4 linked regions of the Rattus norvegicus genome follow. The protein of the gene in region 4 purifies or fractionates together with the protein of the main gene of each other region. This does not show direct contact. Links are inferred from orthologs where the notes say so. Each region holds a gene or a part of one and is shown on either strand. Other genes may lie near its edges.

Region 1 (3,500 bases), on a different chromosome or scaffold from region 4:
TGACAACTATTACTGGGGCTGTGTCTTTCTTAGGGAAGTTGTGAGTTCAGGAAAAATGCTTTCATGGAATTGAAACTTGGCTTCAAAATCATTCTCATTACAGCACTTTGATTCAAATCACCCACAAGGACTGGCTCTGGGAGATGATTCGGTTGCCCATTAAGACTCAGGACGGACTGCTGTCCTAAAAAATAAAGCATGTCATCTCCTATATGTTGCTCCCTCCTCCCCTCAGAAAGCTTCAGTGTTCCCATCTGTGGAACTATGCCAACTTACCTCTGTGAATTTGTCTGCCACCATGTAGCGGACACGCCAAGACTTGTCCTCAGCAGCCTGTCGCAAGGTGGGCATCACTAAGGCCTCCAGGTCCTCCTGGGGCAGAAGCTGGGCGATATTCACGCATGCCTCTACTGCCAGCAGCCGCACCGAGTCCTGGGAAAACACAGGGAGGGGCAGGGAAGCAGAGGCCCACTGAGCCTTAAGGGTGCATTCCTTCCTCAGCTAGCAAGGGCATGGTGAGAGTTGGTGACTGGCTTACCTGCTCGTCAGAGGCCAGGTTAGAGAACATGGGAATGATCTCACTCTTGACATTGTCCAGCTCCAGTACCTTGGCAAACTCCCCCAGCTTGGAGGCAGCGGCCCGCCGCACCATGGGGGTATCATCTGAGCACAGGTTCCGGAAGTACCTGGAATTGGATGGAGGCCCAGAGTTGGAATCCTGGAAAGCCCTACCAGCTGGTGTCACAGTATAGCACAGCACAGAACAGCACAGCACAGAGCACTGCTGGGTCTGCAGTAAATTCTGGTGCTGACAATGGTGACTTTGTACAATTCATGACCTCTTTGTCTTCTCAGCTCTATAAATTGACCAATGGCAGTAGCAAGTCCCCACAAAGCTGACTTGAGGTCTCAGTCAAAGAGTACAACACAGTACTAACAACTGTTTAAAATGCAAATGACTCGTCTACCATTTCAGGAGCAATTGCCTCCTAAGAACTAATGGAGACATACAGCACGTGCATATATATATATATATGTGGCTTTAACCCAGTTGTATGAAGTGACAACTCAGAAACTTTGGCTTATTAGGTCTGAACAACAAGGCAGTTATCAAATGAGGGGTCTAAACCTGGGGCAGGCTGGAGATAACACTAGATACTATTTGTTGTATTGTATTCTGCTCCAAGCCCACAGGTATAACTAATGGTAGGAATAAATTTCCATGAAGGCAGAAAAGGAAAATTCGATGCTGAGGTATGGTGTCCAATGATCACTGTGAAGGACAAGCCTCTTTGAAGAGAGCTAGGAGCAGGGAGGGAGTAGGGAGACATCAAGGACATTAGGCTTAGAGGAGGGTTTAGGTAAAGTGATGGGAATGAGAACTCACTGTCGAAGTTCTGCCTTCACGGCACTGGATACTCGGGGGTAGCAAACTGAGAAGAGACCACAGGCTGAGGTACGGGAGGTGAACCAGTCTCCACCCGCCAGCCGCTTCACCAGAGGCACAAAGTGAGCCTCTAGATCGGAAGGTGAGTGCTCATGAGAGATGGCCCGCAAGGATTCTACCGCCTTGTCTCGCACTACTGTCTCTTCCACTGTGGCCAGTGACTCAAGAGGTGGCTGTGATGAGAACAGAAGGTTAGAGACCAGTGTTTTTCTTACTGTTTCAGTTGTGGAACCCTACCTCATGGCCTGACTGGAGGGAGACTCCTCTTATCTCCCCAGCCCCATGCTTGTGATAACAAGCTTCCTACAAGGATCTCTTAAGAGGCCCATGTGTGTGTGTGGCTCTCAATATACAATAAACACTAATGATGCGGCTCTAATACCCATGACCTAGGTTTCAGATACTGTATTGCTCACCTTTTTTTGATCAAAACTCCTTCTATGTGAGTCTTGTAAAACAGTTTTGATACTATCCTCATTAATCAAAGAGCAGGAATTGGAAGTATATAGGTTATGCAATTTGCCTAAGCTGCTAACAGCCAAGATCTAAAAGATCACTTGGTTATCCTTCCGTACCTAGCAGGTCCTGTCAGGATCGGATTCTGTTGGTGTTTCTAGCTGTCACTCAACAGAGATACACAGATGGTTTGGTATAGTATGGTATGGTACGGTGCAGTACGGCAAGGTATGGTATAGCCTGGTGCAATCAAGCAAACAATCTTGACAATGCATGATTACTAGCTAAGAGTCCCTGATGAGAGATGGCTTAACCTACTGGTACTCTAGGTGGTTCAGCCATCAAGTGAACCTTGCAACCCAAACTGGTAGATAACATATCTTACACAACCATGACAACCACAAAATCTAATTGTGAATACTTACTATAGTACTCTTAAAGTCATACCAGTAAATAATAGAACCTGGCCCGACCCAAACTCAAAATCCTATGGGTGGAATGCCACAGGGTCCTAGTGTGGTTAAGTTTGCAGAATGGATGGCGACTATAGATTAAATGACACTACTGACTTGAGTGAAAGTTACATCCAAAGGTAATCCATTCTGAGGTCACATCCAGCCTTCCTAAATCCTCTGCTTCTTGGACCACCATTCTAACCCCAAGGCAGAAAAGAGGATTAAGAAACTTCGCAGCTTTCACTCACCAGCAGACAGTGCACATACTCGGGTCCTCCCACCAAAGTGGTGAAGGTTCCCAGCTGTTCAGCCAAAGCCAAGAGGACCTCATCTTCATCATAGATGGTATCTGTGGGTCAAAGACCAAGCCCATTAAAAACTCAAGCCGAACCAGTAACCCAAGCTTCCAATAAGCAAAACCACTCAGCTTCCTCACTGTCAGCACCCCTATCTCCCAACCTGCCATTCCTAATCATCATCTACCTGGTGAGCAGAATAAGTCCAAACACCATATCTGCCTTTTCTGGCCCATGCTAGGTGTGGGATGGTAACTGAGTAGCACAACTGCTGTAACCTCAATTTTGGGTTCCTCTCAACAGGGACAAAGACCACATAGATAAATGCAACACAGGATGTTCAGTAAAACTTTAAATATGCAGGAACTCACTTTCAGGAGTTATGTCTTCAACCAGGAAATTCTTTTCTACCTTTGATCACCTGTGCCCAAGACTAGATTTGGTGTGCTCCAGCTCCTGCCAGAGCCAGAATGGAATGTGAATGAATGAAATGTCAGGGAAACAAAGCATACTGCCCAAACTCAAAGGTAGGTGTGTGTGTGTGTGTGTGTGTGTGTGTGTGTGTGTGTGTGTTTCCCCCAACCCCCTCCCTGCCTTTGCTGAAGGAAACACTGACCTCCAGTGGAATGTAAAGCATTCTAGCATTCTCTACCTTGGACTTGCCATAATAGCGCCAAAAAGAGCAGCCTCAGAAGAAACCAGGACCAAGGCTATTGATACCCCGACTTCACACTTCCAGATTCAAGAACAGCAACAACACAGCTGTTGAACATGTCCAGTCTGGGGCTTTTGTCTCTAGAAAACTAAGTTTGTTGACTTTCCCTCAAGAAACTAGCTGAGGGGCTG
Region 2 (3,500 bases), on a different chromosome or scaffold from region 4:
ACTTAAAGAGTGAGTATACAGAATCACACATCCCTTTAATAGTACTATTTCTCTTAATCTTGACAAACTCTTAGGCAGGCCCACTTTCCTGTGATACAACTAAGAAAAAAAAACCACCTTTCTGGGTGCACTGTACCCTGATAAGAGGTATGAGACTAGGGGCGGGCTTTGAGGTCTTAAAAGCCCAAGTCAGGCCCAGCCTCTCCCAGCTCCTGCTTGTAAATGCCACTGCTCCAGCGCCAGGCCGGACTCACAGAGATCTGCCTGCCTCTGGCCCCCACCCCACCCAGGTGTCTTGGTCACAGGTGTCTCTTGACATCAATAGAACACTAAGGGAGACCACACCTAAGTCAGAAAGTAATTGAAAAGGATGAATAAGAGACTAACAAACATTGCAGCAGAATTCCATTTCCACGTCTTAGCACTCCGCCCACGACTACTAGTAGGAATGCTGCTTCCTTGCCTTTAAGTACCATTTTCTGAGCACAAATTTAATTTTGGCCAATTAGTTCCAAAATAAATATACAGTGCAGCAAGGCTTCAGTGATGGTTCAGTGATGAACTGGTTTCTCTTGGCTTTCATGTACCCACATCACTCAACAGAAATTCAGTGGTGGGCAGTGAGACAGATGACCAGTAATGCTTGCCATGATGACCCAAGTCCCAAGATACATAGTAGAGAGAGCAAAATCCTGTAGGTTATTCTGACTCTCATATGTATGCACATAGTGTACTCATGTACATACACACAAATAAATACAATAAAACATGAATATCACTTAATATTATTTATTCAGCATAAAAAGGTAATGAAGACATATCTCTTGAAATTATTATTCTACATTTACTAGTATTTCACAAAGAGTAATTTTGGAAAGTCAATCAGATAAACATAAAAGTAAGTAAACCTTCGACATAAAAGGCAGTCAAGCATGGCACATCTCTACACTGATGGTACTTCCCAGTGTTTGCTGAGATTATTAATTATCAACCGTTCCTGTTTCACTGAATGAGACCTTTAGGAAGAAGAAATGACAGCCACCAGTAGGTGACATGTTTAATTTATGCTGCTCAGGTTGGTCTCAAACTTAGGGGGCTCTAACCTCCTGCTTCGTGTTCCTGAGTTCTGGTATTACAAGTGTGCATTGCACACTCAGACCTAAGCTCAGTATAAATGTCCACTGTACTTGTTACAAGCAGTGAGTGATTCTAGCCATGTTTATATAACATTAAAAAAACTTCTTTCCCCCTCTTGCCTTCTTGCTCTTGCTTTGTCCTCTTCTCCCTACCCCCACCTCTCCACGTGCTCATGGCCAGCCTCTACTCAGCTACTCTCTCTGCCTTTCTCTGTCCCTACTGCCCTTTTAACTCCCCTCCCCATATCCTGAATAAACTCTATTCTATACTTAAAAAAAATATATATATATATATATATATATATATATATATATATTGTTTTTTTTTTTCGAGACAGGGTTTCTCTGTGTAGCCCTAACTGGCTTGGAACTCAGAGATTCACCTGCCTCTGCCTCCCAAGTGCTGGGATTAGAGGAAGGCACCACCATCACCTAGCTAGTGGAACTGCAACTGACATATTAATGGGAAGAAAAACAAAGAAACACCAAAAATAGCCTTTAGTCCCACAGAGTCAGCAAGATGACCATATAATGCAGACAGGACTGTGAAGCTAGTCTCACTGCCAACTTAAGAAAGACAGCTACAAAATGTAGCTCTCCTTGCCACTGCCAACACTTTGAAAACAAAGCACGATTTTCTCTCTTTGTGTCAATGCAACATATTTAGAGGTTTGAAAAATTAAGACTGGAGGAGTGTCTCCTAATTGTTCTGTATGTACACCGTGCATGTCCTGAATCCAGAGCAGTCTGACTGTTTTCTATACCTTGCTCCATAGGCCCTGCTGGACTGACTTGTGCTGCACTGTGCAACTCAGTTTCTCCTGCCTGTGATGTCACAGATACTGGTCAAGGATAGAAGCTAGCTGACAGAGGGAGAAACCTGCATGTACATTTTGCACTGGAGAAACTTTCCTAAAGCCGTAGGCTGAGATTTCAGATCCTTTAAAACTTGAGACAGTTAGCCAAAAAGGAGCCATGACTTGGCTGCTCAGATTTAAGCTCTGACTCACTATTACCCACACTGTTTGGGGTGTGCCCTCTGCTAAGAGTGTTCTCCCCAACCCTGTGCCTACCTCCACTTCTCACTCTCACAAACAAAGGAGCACACCAATTTGCCAGTAATGAACCACATGAGTAACAAAATTAAGTGTAACCCTGAACAGACAATATACTTTACACCGGCGATGGTAGCATATTTCATGACTCAGATTCTGAGAAAAGCTAGTCAACAGTGTAGCACTCCAAACCCATGTAAGGAGCACCCCAACACACCTCCCACAGGTACACACTCTTCAAAAGAAACAGCCTGCAAATACCTGGTATGTCTCCACGGGCCTGTTTTCCATATTCAAGTCCCAAACTTTGACTGACAAATAGTCTCTAGTCATCATATAGCGACCACTGTGGCTGAATTTTACATCAGAAATTGAGGAGATGATTTCAGAAAAAAACGACCTGTTGCTGGGATCTTCGGGTTCTTCAAACACTGAAAAAGAAGGGAAAATGTTTCATATTTGGGCTTGGATAAATCATTTTCCAAAGTAGCCACTCAAGTGAGATAAAAATCACAGGCTAATCCAGAAAAATTAAAACATTTTGCCAGCTTTAGGAACATGTTTCCTCACAAAGTCTTTTGAGAGAAAAGTATCAATACAAAGTGCAGAATCCTGCTAATAAGGTAGGATTCTGGTTCTGCAGAGGACTCCCAAGGTTCTTTACCTCAGTGCACACCCGACGCCACTGCCTCTATAGCATCACTCTGGAAACCACCACCAACCCCACCTATCTAGGATTTTGTCAACTGGAACATATTTGGATTTTTCAATGCAACCAAAGCCAAGAAAATAATTTTACAACCCCCTTGTTTGGATTTTAAAATAGTTTATTTACTTTTATTTTACTATGTGTATGGTATGTATTGATGTGTATGAAGAGTGTGTGCAGAACAAGGTGTTGTTCCTTTGGAACTGGTGCCACATACAAACAGCTCTGAGCCGCCCCAGTCTTCTTCATTGCTGAATCAGGTCCCCAGCCTCATTCATTTAAAAGCTCATGTTTCCTCAACATTTTATAAAGATGAGAAAGACCATTCTTGGAGACGAAATGGGAAGGGAGGAAAGGAAGGAAGCTCTAACTGATATCATACTACAGAGTTTGGTTATACCTATACCCGACAGACCCTCCTACCCTGTGGGCTCCCTGTGGAATACCACAGACACACAAGCCCAGGTCAAGTCTGAGTAGATGACCATTTTAAAGAAAGGGCAGAAACAGACTTACGTTTAGAATGCCTGTCACAGAGTGCAGATGCCCTCATGTCACATAAGCGAATGGTCCCTTTACTGCTGCTGTACACAAACGTGT
Region 3 (3,487 bases), on a different chromosome or scaffold from region 4:
GGAGTTTCTACAGAAACCAAGTGGCAATTTGGGATAGTTACATGTAGAATCTGAAATTCTGTATAAACTCAACCATTCTGCTAAAGGAAAAAAGTTCTCAATTTATTCCAAAGTATAAATAGCCTGAGTACTTTCATTATGTGCAATTGAAACAAATAAAGACTGCAGTGGCATTTGGATTTAAAAACACTTCACAGTGTGCTGTGTTTATTAAGTAGCTCCACAGAAGGTGTGATGGCAGGTGCAGTGGGTGAGGAGAGCTGCCTGAGCCTGCTCGGGCACAGCCATGCACCACGCACCAGCGGTGGGTGATGCAGCCCACTGGGGCTCCAGGGCCAGAGAGGAACGTGGGTGGTGGCCACACCATGTCCAGGATAAGGCCCAGGGATGGATGGCAGAGACAGAGGTAAGAGCTGGAGAGATTTGATGAGATTTTTTTTCCTCTCAGATGTTAGTTTTTTGGTCTAAAAACTGGAAAGGAAGGCTCAGACTTAAATAAATACATTTGAGTAATGGCCTTTATTGAGCAGAGTCCACCAATTCAGCTTCAAGTAGGTTTTCCCTTCAGCAGCAGCACTCATCTCTCCCAAGGCTCCAGCTGAGACCCCTTCTTCTCCTGTGTCTATGAGGGAAGTAGAAGTGCGTCACTATTCTCAATGGAGAGGACAATGCCTTTTTTGGACAGGAAAACGACCGGCTTATGTATGTATGCAAGACAACACTTGGTCCTCCAGTCAGTTCCTTAATTAATTTTGTCCTGGAATATATACAAGTTATTGGTGGCAGCTACAGCAATAATGCTCTCCATGGGGTGCCAGGCTGTGTGAAGGATCTTCTTATTGAAGTCCAAACTGTCCACGCTAATCTCATCCTTCTTCCTCTTACCCCCTGAACACACTTTCCGGGGCTTCAGGCTGGCTCGGGGCTTGCTGTTCTCTCTTGAGGCTTCCAGTGTAACATCCCTCCGAGTGTTTCTATCAAACATTCTAAAGAAGTTGTTGTAGGACCCCGTCATAATGGCACTGTTCAGGAGAGAAAAGAGGGGACACTGAGTACCTAGCAGGACCATGGCAATGGCATGAACCAGGGTAATGGCATGAAGTATGGACCCTCTACAGGCCCACATTTCTACATTATCAGGAAAGAAATGTAGTACAGGTTCTGCAGTGAACTTCACTTATTTTCATGTCCAAGTAAGAAAAGTAATGGAGCCATAATTTAAATACATTCCCACCAAGGAAGTAGCGTGTGTTGGATGCCTTGCAAATGTGAGCTGTCTGACATGGGGGCTGAGAACACAACTCCTCTATCTCTCTCATCTAATTAACGTGTAGAAGAATTAGGAGAGGAGAGGAAGGAGAAGCAGGCAGACTGGGGCGGAGAAGAAAGGAGGGATGAGGAAGAAAGATGAAAATTTAACTCCGGCCAAATCACTTTTAGTCTAGCACCTGGGAGGCAGATCCGAGTTTGAGGCCAGCCTGATCTAAATTTCTAAGTTTCTTTCAAAGCTAGGTACAGTGGAGGTGTACATCTGTAATCCCAACATCAAGACAGCTGAGGCAGGAGGCTGTCACAATTTGATCCATAATTTTGGAAGAGGTCTTTTTTTTCTATATTTTAGAATGTGTATGTGGTTTGCAAGCTGATGCTAGTATTGGGATTGTAGGCAGTTGCCATACACTGAGGAACCACCCTCCCCACCTCTCCATTTTGTTTTGGGTTTAGAAACAAGATTTCATATAGCATAGGCTAGCCTCAAACTTGTTATATGCCAGAGGATAACCACCTACTCCTGATTTTCCTGTACGTGTATAAGTACAGAGGACACAGGTGTATGCCACCATGCCTATTTCTATAGCAGGTTAAAGGTCAGGTTGGGTTACAAAATACATAATGCTGTTTCAAAAAGACAAAACAAAGGATATTCCACATGGCTCTTTGACTTTTCCGCCAAGTGAAGACCAACCAATCTCTTCTGCCTTCTCCTTGGAAACCCTCAAACTCTCCTGTTCCTATCCTGACCTCCATGGTCTTGCTGTCTTAGAGCTGCATGGCTAGTGGTCTTTACAATGCCTAAGTTCTTCAAGTTACTACATTGCTCGGGATTCTTCCTAGCTGCCTGTAAATATTTTAGCATCAGTTAGCCTTACCTCAAACTCCATACCAAATAAACTTACAGAAAAGCCCTGTTACAGCTACTCTTGTTCATTCAAATCTGTTCAAACAAGCAGCACCAGGGAGGCTGGAGATGAGAGCCATGGCTGGTACACTCTGGAGAGAGCACCTGAAATAAGTGTGCAGAACTGTGTTTGCAGGAGAGGACCCACTGTTACAATCCTCTTCGATTTATTTCCATGTGGAATTTGATGCTTATGGAAGTAGGGGTGAGGCCATTAGCAATTGCAACAAGAACAAAGAGCACAGTGGCCAAAAGTATTTCTCAGGAAGAAGTGTGTCATCGGCATGGGTATGAACTGCTGGTGCACTGTATAGCAGCAGGTGCCTGCACTGAAGTGGGCATCTCCTCACCTACCCAGCACCTGAGTGCAGCAGGAGAAGCAGGTAGCCTGGTTCAGGTTTGCCCCACCCAGAAACAGAACAAAACATGGTGCAGGTAACTGTCTCTTTGCTGACTAAAGTGGAACACTGAAATGCAGAGCTTCACAGGCATTGACAGAAGACGGCGACACTCCACTCCACTCCACTGAGACACAGAAGCTTCTGAGCAAGAAGATGGAGGAAAGGACTGCAGGAAATGAAGGGATGGAGCAAACGTTACCAGGAAAACTTTCCATATTCTTGGGGATGTGCTGCAGTATTTCAGATACAATAGAGACCATTAGCTGTAAGCCATCTCTGAGATGGTTACAATCTACAAAGTACCTTTTAGAAAGACATCGCCTCAAAACAGATGGGTGTAACTTCCATGCAGCTGTATTTTGAATATAACAGATCTTTTTTGTGTTGCTGGGCTTTCAATTTCAGGACCTTTACAGCTTCAGCAGATGCTTTACCACTAAGCTATACCCTCAGTCCTGTTACTAATTTCGTGATCCAGCTGGTCTTGTTCACTGATGCCCAGTGCCTTTTTTACACACAAACAATTTAGCTGTGTGCTCCCCAACAGTCAATAAGCGGGTTGGCTGATGTTTCAGGTTTCTTGTCTTTATTGTGCAAGATCTTCCCACTATACTGATGTTAGCAGAATGCCACAGGAGGCCAGGCAATACGACTAGCCTCACTCCTCCTTGACACTGTATTTCCCATTGTTCATTCTCCTTGTGGTCTTTCTCATTATTATCATCTTCTTTTCCGAGGCAGGTTTTTACTGTATGTAGCTCTGATTAACCTGGAACTCACCTTGCACATCAGGGTGACCTTGAACTCAAGAGAGCCACCTCTCTTTGTCTCGTAATTGGTAAGATTAAAAAGTATGCACACACATGGTAGCCATTCTTAAACTTGTAATTGATATATTATGGACATT
Region 4 (4,229 bases):
GGTAGGAAAAAGTGATTCCTGCAAGTAATCATCTGACCCCGCATAACGAAGCAAAGGTGATTCCAAACGGAGCAGGGGCCTGACAGATGCCTCAGTGCAATGAGCACAGTAAGAAATGCATTTTAGACATGTAAAAAATAGCTTAGTCACGCTTACCTAGGAAGCGCAAGGCCCTGGGTTCGGTCCCCAGCTCCGAAAAAAAGAACCAAAAAAAAAAAAAAATAGCTTAGTCAGAAACCCCACTACACCCAAGGCTGCACCTGCTAACCAGAGCCCAGTGATGTCACTCACTCAAGATAATCAGACACTCATAAACCCCATGACACCCACTGGACAGTACGTAAACAGAGACTAAGCAATGCTCTGGTCTGCCCTGCAGCTGGAGAGTCTCCCCCAGGATCCTGGCCCTTCCAGGATTGAGACTTTGTTAGAGGCTGGACCCGACCTTCAGCTAGGATACCTAGGACAAGGGAGCAGCGTTGGGGAGACAGGCTTAGGACCACAGTTAGGAATTTAGAGTGCGAACCTTGTGATGACCCTCAGCACAATAAAATATAACTTTTGTTACACTACTTGCTATACAAACCACACATTATCTACCTTCTTGCTCGAGACACTTGGGAGTTAAGAATCCTTGATGTTCTGACAGAGGACCTGGTACCCTTCTCAGCACCCACAGTGAAGCCCACAATCACTTAATTCATACGTGCAGGTGAAACACTGTCGTTTAAGTAAATCCAAAAATAATAGTAATTCAAAAGGAAAACCATGCTCAATGCTATTATCCAGGTCTAAGTTCAGAGGGCATTCCTTTCCATCAAATAAGGGAAAAATACGCCCAGGAATGGGAATGGGTTAGTGAGCTTAGGCGAGGAACCACAAAGGCACGATGCGAATAGTTGTTTAATTTCTCTTACGGCACCGGTTTTTCTCTCCAACACTCGTTCACTAGAAGTTCAGGTGGACAGGAGTTTCCAGTCTTTCCCAGCTAACGAGCTTGCTCCATGTGTTAATGCGGCATCCCCACTGGACATTCTGCATTCACTTCCCCCTCCCCTCATCAAGGGCGTCGGGACTTGGTGTCTTCGTTAAGATCTAGTGCACTACCAGGACATTATATAATTTTTCTGAGTTGTAACTCGAACCAGGACCTGTTCAGGGATTCCACCACCAAGCCTTGTTTAACACTTCTATGTTTCAAAGAAGGTGGAGACAACAGCCGTGCCCAGGCCTGGCACTAACTGCCACCAAAAGAACTAAGCTTGCCAAAACCTGGGAGCCAGAAGGGAACAGAAAACTAAGGAGACCCGGAGCTGTTGCGAGGGGGCGTGAGCAAGCGCCCTGAGGGCGTGGCCAGGCGCAGGGAGAACTGGGAACTGGGGCGGTGGCCAGGCGCGGGGAACCCTGGGAGCCGGGCGCGCGGAACCCTGGGAACTGGGGGTCGAGCTGTGGACGGACAAGGGATCGGGGGCGGGGCGAGGCGCGGGGAGACATGGGAACGGGGGGAGGAGCGGCCCAGCGCGCGAGCCTAACGGCTGAAGTCGAAGCGCGGGAGACTCCGCCGGTGAGGCTCCGCCTTGCGTGGGTTTGAACGAAGCTCCGCCCCGCACGCCACCAATCGGCGCTCGCGCGGCGGCGCCATGGCGACCCTTTGTGGGCACTGACTGATCCCGGGGCCAGACGGAGTGGCGGGTCTGCCTTGCGGCGCCGGTGAGTGTGTCGATGATTTGCTCCTTCGAGCCTCTGAGGCCTGGGCGGCGTCCATGCAGGCACCTCCAGGGCGGTCGGGTGGCGGCAGGGTCCTCGGCCCTCCTGGGCCGGCCGACCTTCGGCGCTCAGGACGACGCGGCGTGTTGAGTGACACATACCGAGAGCCGGAGCGGCGGGTCTGAGCTGGCCGTCCCGCCCTCCGCCCACGCTCCCCTGCTTCCGCTCTCTCTTCCTCCTGTGGCCTTTCCTCTCTCCTTTCTCCTCTGTCCCCCCTTCTTTGGTTCACCCCGCGTCGGTCCTCCGTCTCACCTTTCGGGCTGGCCGCCGGTGCTGTGCGTGTCCCTTAAGAGCTGCGCGTGGCCAGCAGTTTTGGGGGGACTGGACTTTGTCTGGCTTCTAGCCCCGAGCGTCTGTCTGCTAGCCAGAGACCGATTCCGAGAGGGCTGGGTGGACTCCGTGCAGTCGCCTGCCTGGTGAGTGTTGGCCTTGCTTTCTTTCCCTTTGTTTCTTGGATTTTAATTCCCCTGAGAAGTGTCTTGTGTTGCTTGTTCTTCCCCTACTGCAATAGACTCCACGTCCTTTTAAAATGATCATTTGTGGCCCAATAGATACTACCTGGAACGGCATCGGTGGAACTCGACTGGAACCAGGCTCTGTCTTCGGTAGCTTGTCCTGAGGCCAAATGGAACTAGGAAAAAAAGCTCCAGGAACCTTTTCTAAAGTTTTTCTCCCCTAGATAGGGTCACCAGGGAAGGGGCTTCTTCCAGAACTTGAAACGAATGTACAGCACCCGTATATTTTCTCCTGGTGGCCTTTGTATCTGACCTACCAGAAGACAGAGCTGAGCTTGCCGTTGATTTAAATGATTCTGGGAAACATTTTCTGCACGCAGAAAGTTTGATGTTTCATCAGCCTCCTGCATTGCAGCCTTGTTTGGTTTTATGGATGAAATTAAAAATGCATTCAGAAATCTCCCCCATTTTAGAGGTGCTAGTCTTAAAAGGAAGGAGATCAGGAAGGTTCCCTCAGATTGTCACTGGAACCTACCTTCAGGCATAAGAAAGTTCCACATCCTTCCAAGGGTAACTCTGCTAAAGGTTTTTTAGTAACCATTGATACAAAGTGTGAAGCGGACACAGTGGGACAAAAAACTCCCATCAAATGACCGTTAAGTTCATTGACCCAGCATTTTCCAACTTGTTCCTCTTCCAGTTGCACTTTGAGGAGGTACTTTAATGCAGTTGTGATTTGTTTATTTGTTTGTTTGTTTGTTTGTTTTGAGACAGGATTTCCTGCAGGCCAGGGTGGCCTCAGACTGACAGTGCAACCAGAAACAACCTTGCTCCCCTTCTCTCTGCTTCCCAAGTGTGCCACCATACCCAGCCCAGAAACCACTAACTTCTGGTTCTCCTTAAAACCCAGCATCAGATGAATGCTGGATTGTGGTTACAGTCCCAGCCCGAGTTGTGCTAGGTCTGCTCAGATAAAGCCAAGACTAATGGCTGGTCAGAGCCCAGGAAGCTGCATTTCCACATGGTCACTGAGGTAGGCCTGCTCCAAGATAGGATGGTTGTGGAGTCCTAGGCGGTCTCTTTACCTCAGATTGCTGTATGGGTAGTTAACATTCTCTTCCTCCTCACTGTCCACTGGCCTCTGCTGGCCTCAACACTGTGTCTGAGCTCCCAAGAGTTCCTGGCTCTTGTCACTCAGCCAGTGCTTGTGGGGGAGAAAGTCAGAGGACAGGATTGTGGGTTGACTTAGCTTTGGGTTGAAGGGATGTTACACATTTACCTAGACTTGAAAAGACCTTTTGGCCATCTGGAAGTGAGGTGTAAGATATGGAACATAATTTATACAGAATTTAGCAGGGAGAATTTCCTGTTATCTTTCATTAGAAGGATTAAGCAACATCAGGTCAGGCACACAAGGCCACAGGAAGCTGTGCCCAGGCGGGTACAGGAGAGCCCCTGTGCAGGCACCAGTTAGGGCTAGTCAGAACCTGTGCTGGTGATGCAGACCTTCACCCTCAGGCTCCCTCCTTCCTCTTGCTCTCTTGCTAGAAGCTACTCTGTCACCATCCTGTTCTCTATGACTGTGTTCTAGAGTGACAGATAAGCAAACAACAGTGTTTCATTCTGGGCTTAGTTATTTTACTTTTTTATTGGTGTGTGTGTACCTTCTGAGGCCGCAAGAGGACACTGGATCCAAGGAACTGGAGGTATAGGGAGTCATTAGCCATTGTGTGAGTTCTGGGTACCCAGCCTTTATCATGTGTCATTTCTCCAGCCACCTTCCTTGTTTAAAAATCTTTAAATGTGAGGATGATAATCAAGACAGAAGGACAGTATCTGCTCCTAGCAAGACAGGGAGTGTGTTGGTTAAACCCCTGCTGTGTAAGACTTGTCTAGACCCTAAGGGAAAGGGATAGAGAGCAGAGTTTAATTTGCAAAGTTAGTAAGTCAGGAGAAGCAGTTTGATGGCAAATATACACGGGGAGGTGAGTGCTTCTTAGAGAACAG

What was found. Proteins that work in one complex are often made in the same cells at the same time.
Region 1: the proteins of Cdca4 (region 4) and Ppp2r1a purify together in Homo sapiens (affinity purification with mass spectrometry; 4 studies listed by BioGRID and IntAct, counting the BioPlex papers as one, with this or other methods). This does not show direct contact. The link is inferred for Rattus norvegicus from reciprocal best matches to the Homo sapiens genes CDCA4 and PPP2R1A.
Region 2: the proteins of Cdca4 (region 4) and Ppp2r2a purify together in Homo sapiens (affinity purification with mass spectrometry; 4 studies listed by BioGRID and IntAct, with this or other methods). This does not show direct contact. The link is inferred for Rattus norvegicus from reciprocal best matches to the Homo sapiens genes CDCA4 and PPP2R2A.
Region 3: the proteins of Cdca4 (region 4) and Ppp2r2d purify together in Homo sapiens (affinity purification with mass spectrometry; 3 studies listed by BioGRID and IntAct, counting the BioPlex papers as one, with this or other methods). This does not show direct contact. The link is inferred for Rattus norvegicus from reciprocal best matches to the Homo sapiens genes CDCA4 and PPP2R2D.

Annotation. Positions count from the first base shown.
Region 1 is NC_086019.1:69,219,698-69,223,197, reverse strand, and holds part of Ppp2r1a (serine/threonine-protein phosphatase 2A 65 kDa regulatory subunit A alpha isoform), read right to left. Parts: intron 2,708-3,500; coding exon 2,607-2,707; intron 1,621-2,606; coding exon 1,388-1,620; intron 687-1,387; coding exon 539-686; intron 433-538; coding exon 277-432; intron 1-276. UniProt on the Homo sapiens protein: The PR65 subunit of protein phosphatase 2A serves as a scaffolding molecule to coordinate the assembly of the catalytic subunit and a variable regulatory B subunit.
Region 2 is NC_086033.1:45,383,906-45,387,405, forward strand, and holds part of Ppp2r2a (serine/threonine-protein phosphatase 2A 55 kDa regulatory subunit B alpha isoform), read right to left. Parts: coding exon 3,417-3,500; intron 2,623-3,416; coding exon 2,453-2,622; intron 1-2,452. UniProt on the Homo sapiens protein: Substrate-recognition subunit of protein phosphatase 2A (PP2A) that plays a key role in cell cycle by controlling mitosis entry and exit. Involved in chromosome clustering during late mitosis by mediating dephosphorylation of MKI67.
Region 3 is NC_086019.1:203,126,582-203,130,068, reverse strand, and holds the end of Ppp2r2d (serine/threonine-protein phosphatase 2A 55 kDa regulatory subunit B delta isoform), read right to left. Parts: intron 1,023-3,487; coding exon 743-1,022; 3' UTR 501-742; downstream 1-500. UniProt on the Homo sapiens protein: Substrate-recognition subunit of protein phosphatase 2A (PP2A) that plays a key role in cell cycle by controlling mitosis entry and exit. Involved in chromosome clustering during late mitosis by mediating dephosphorylation of MKI67.
Region 4 is NC_086024.1:137,719,853-137,724,081, reverse strand, and holds the start of Cdca4 (cell division cycle-associated protein 4), read left to right. Parts: upstream 1-1,429; 5' UTR 1,430-1,710; exon of another isoform or gene 1,711-2,183; intron 2,184-2,996; exon of another isoform or gene 2,997-3,243; coding exon of another isoform or gene 3,244-3,255; intron 3,256-4,229. UniProt on the Homo sapiens protein: May participate in the regulation of cell proliferation through the E2F/RB pathway. May be involved in molecular regulation of hematopoietic stem cells and progenitor cell lineage commitment and differentiation.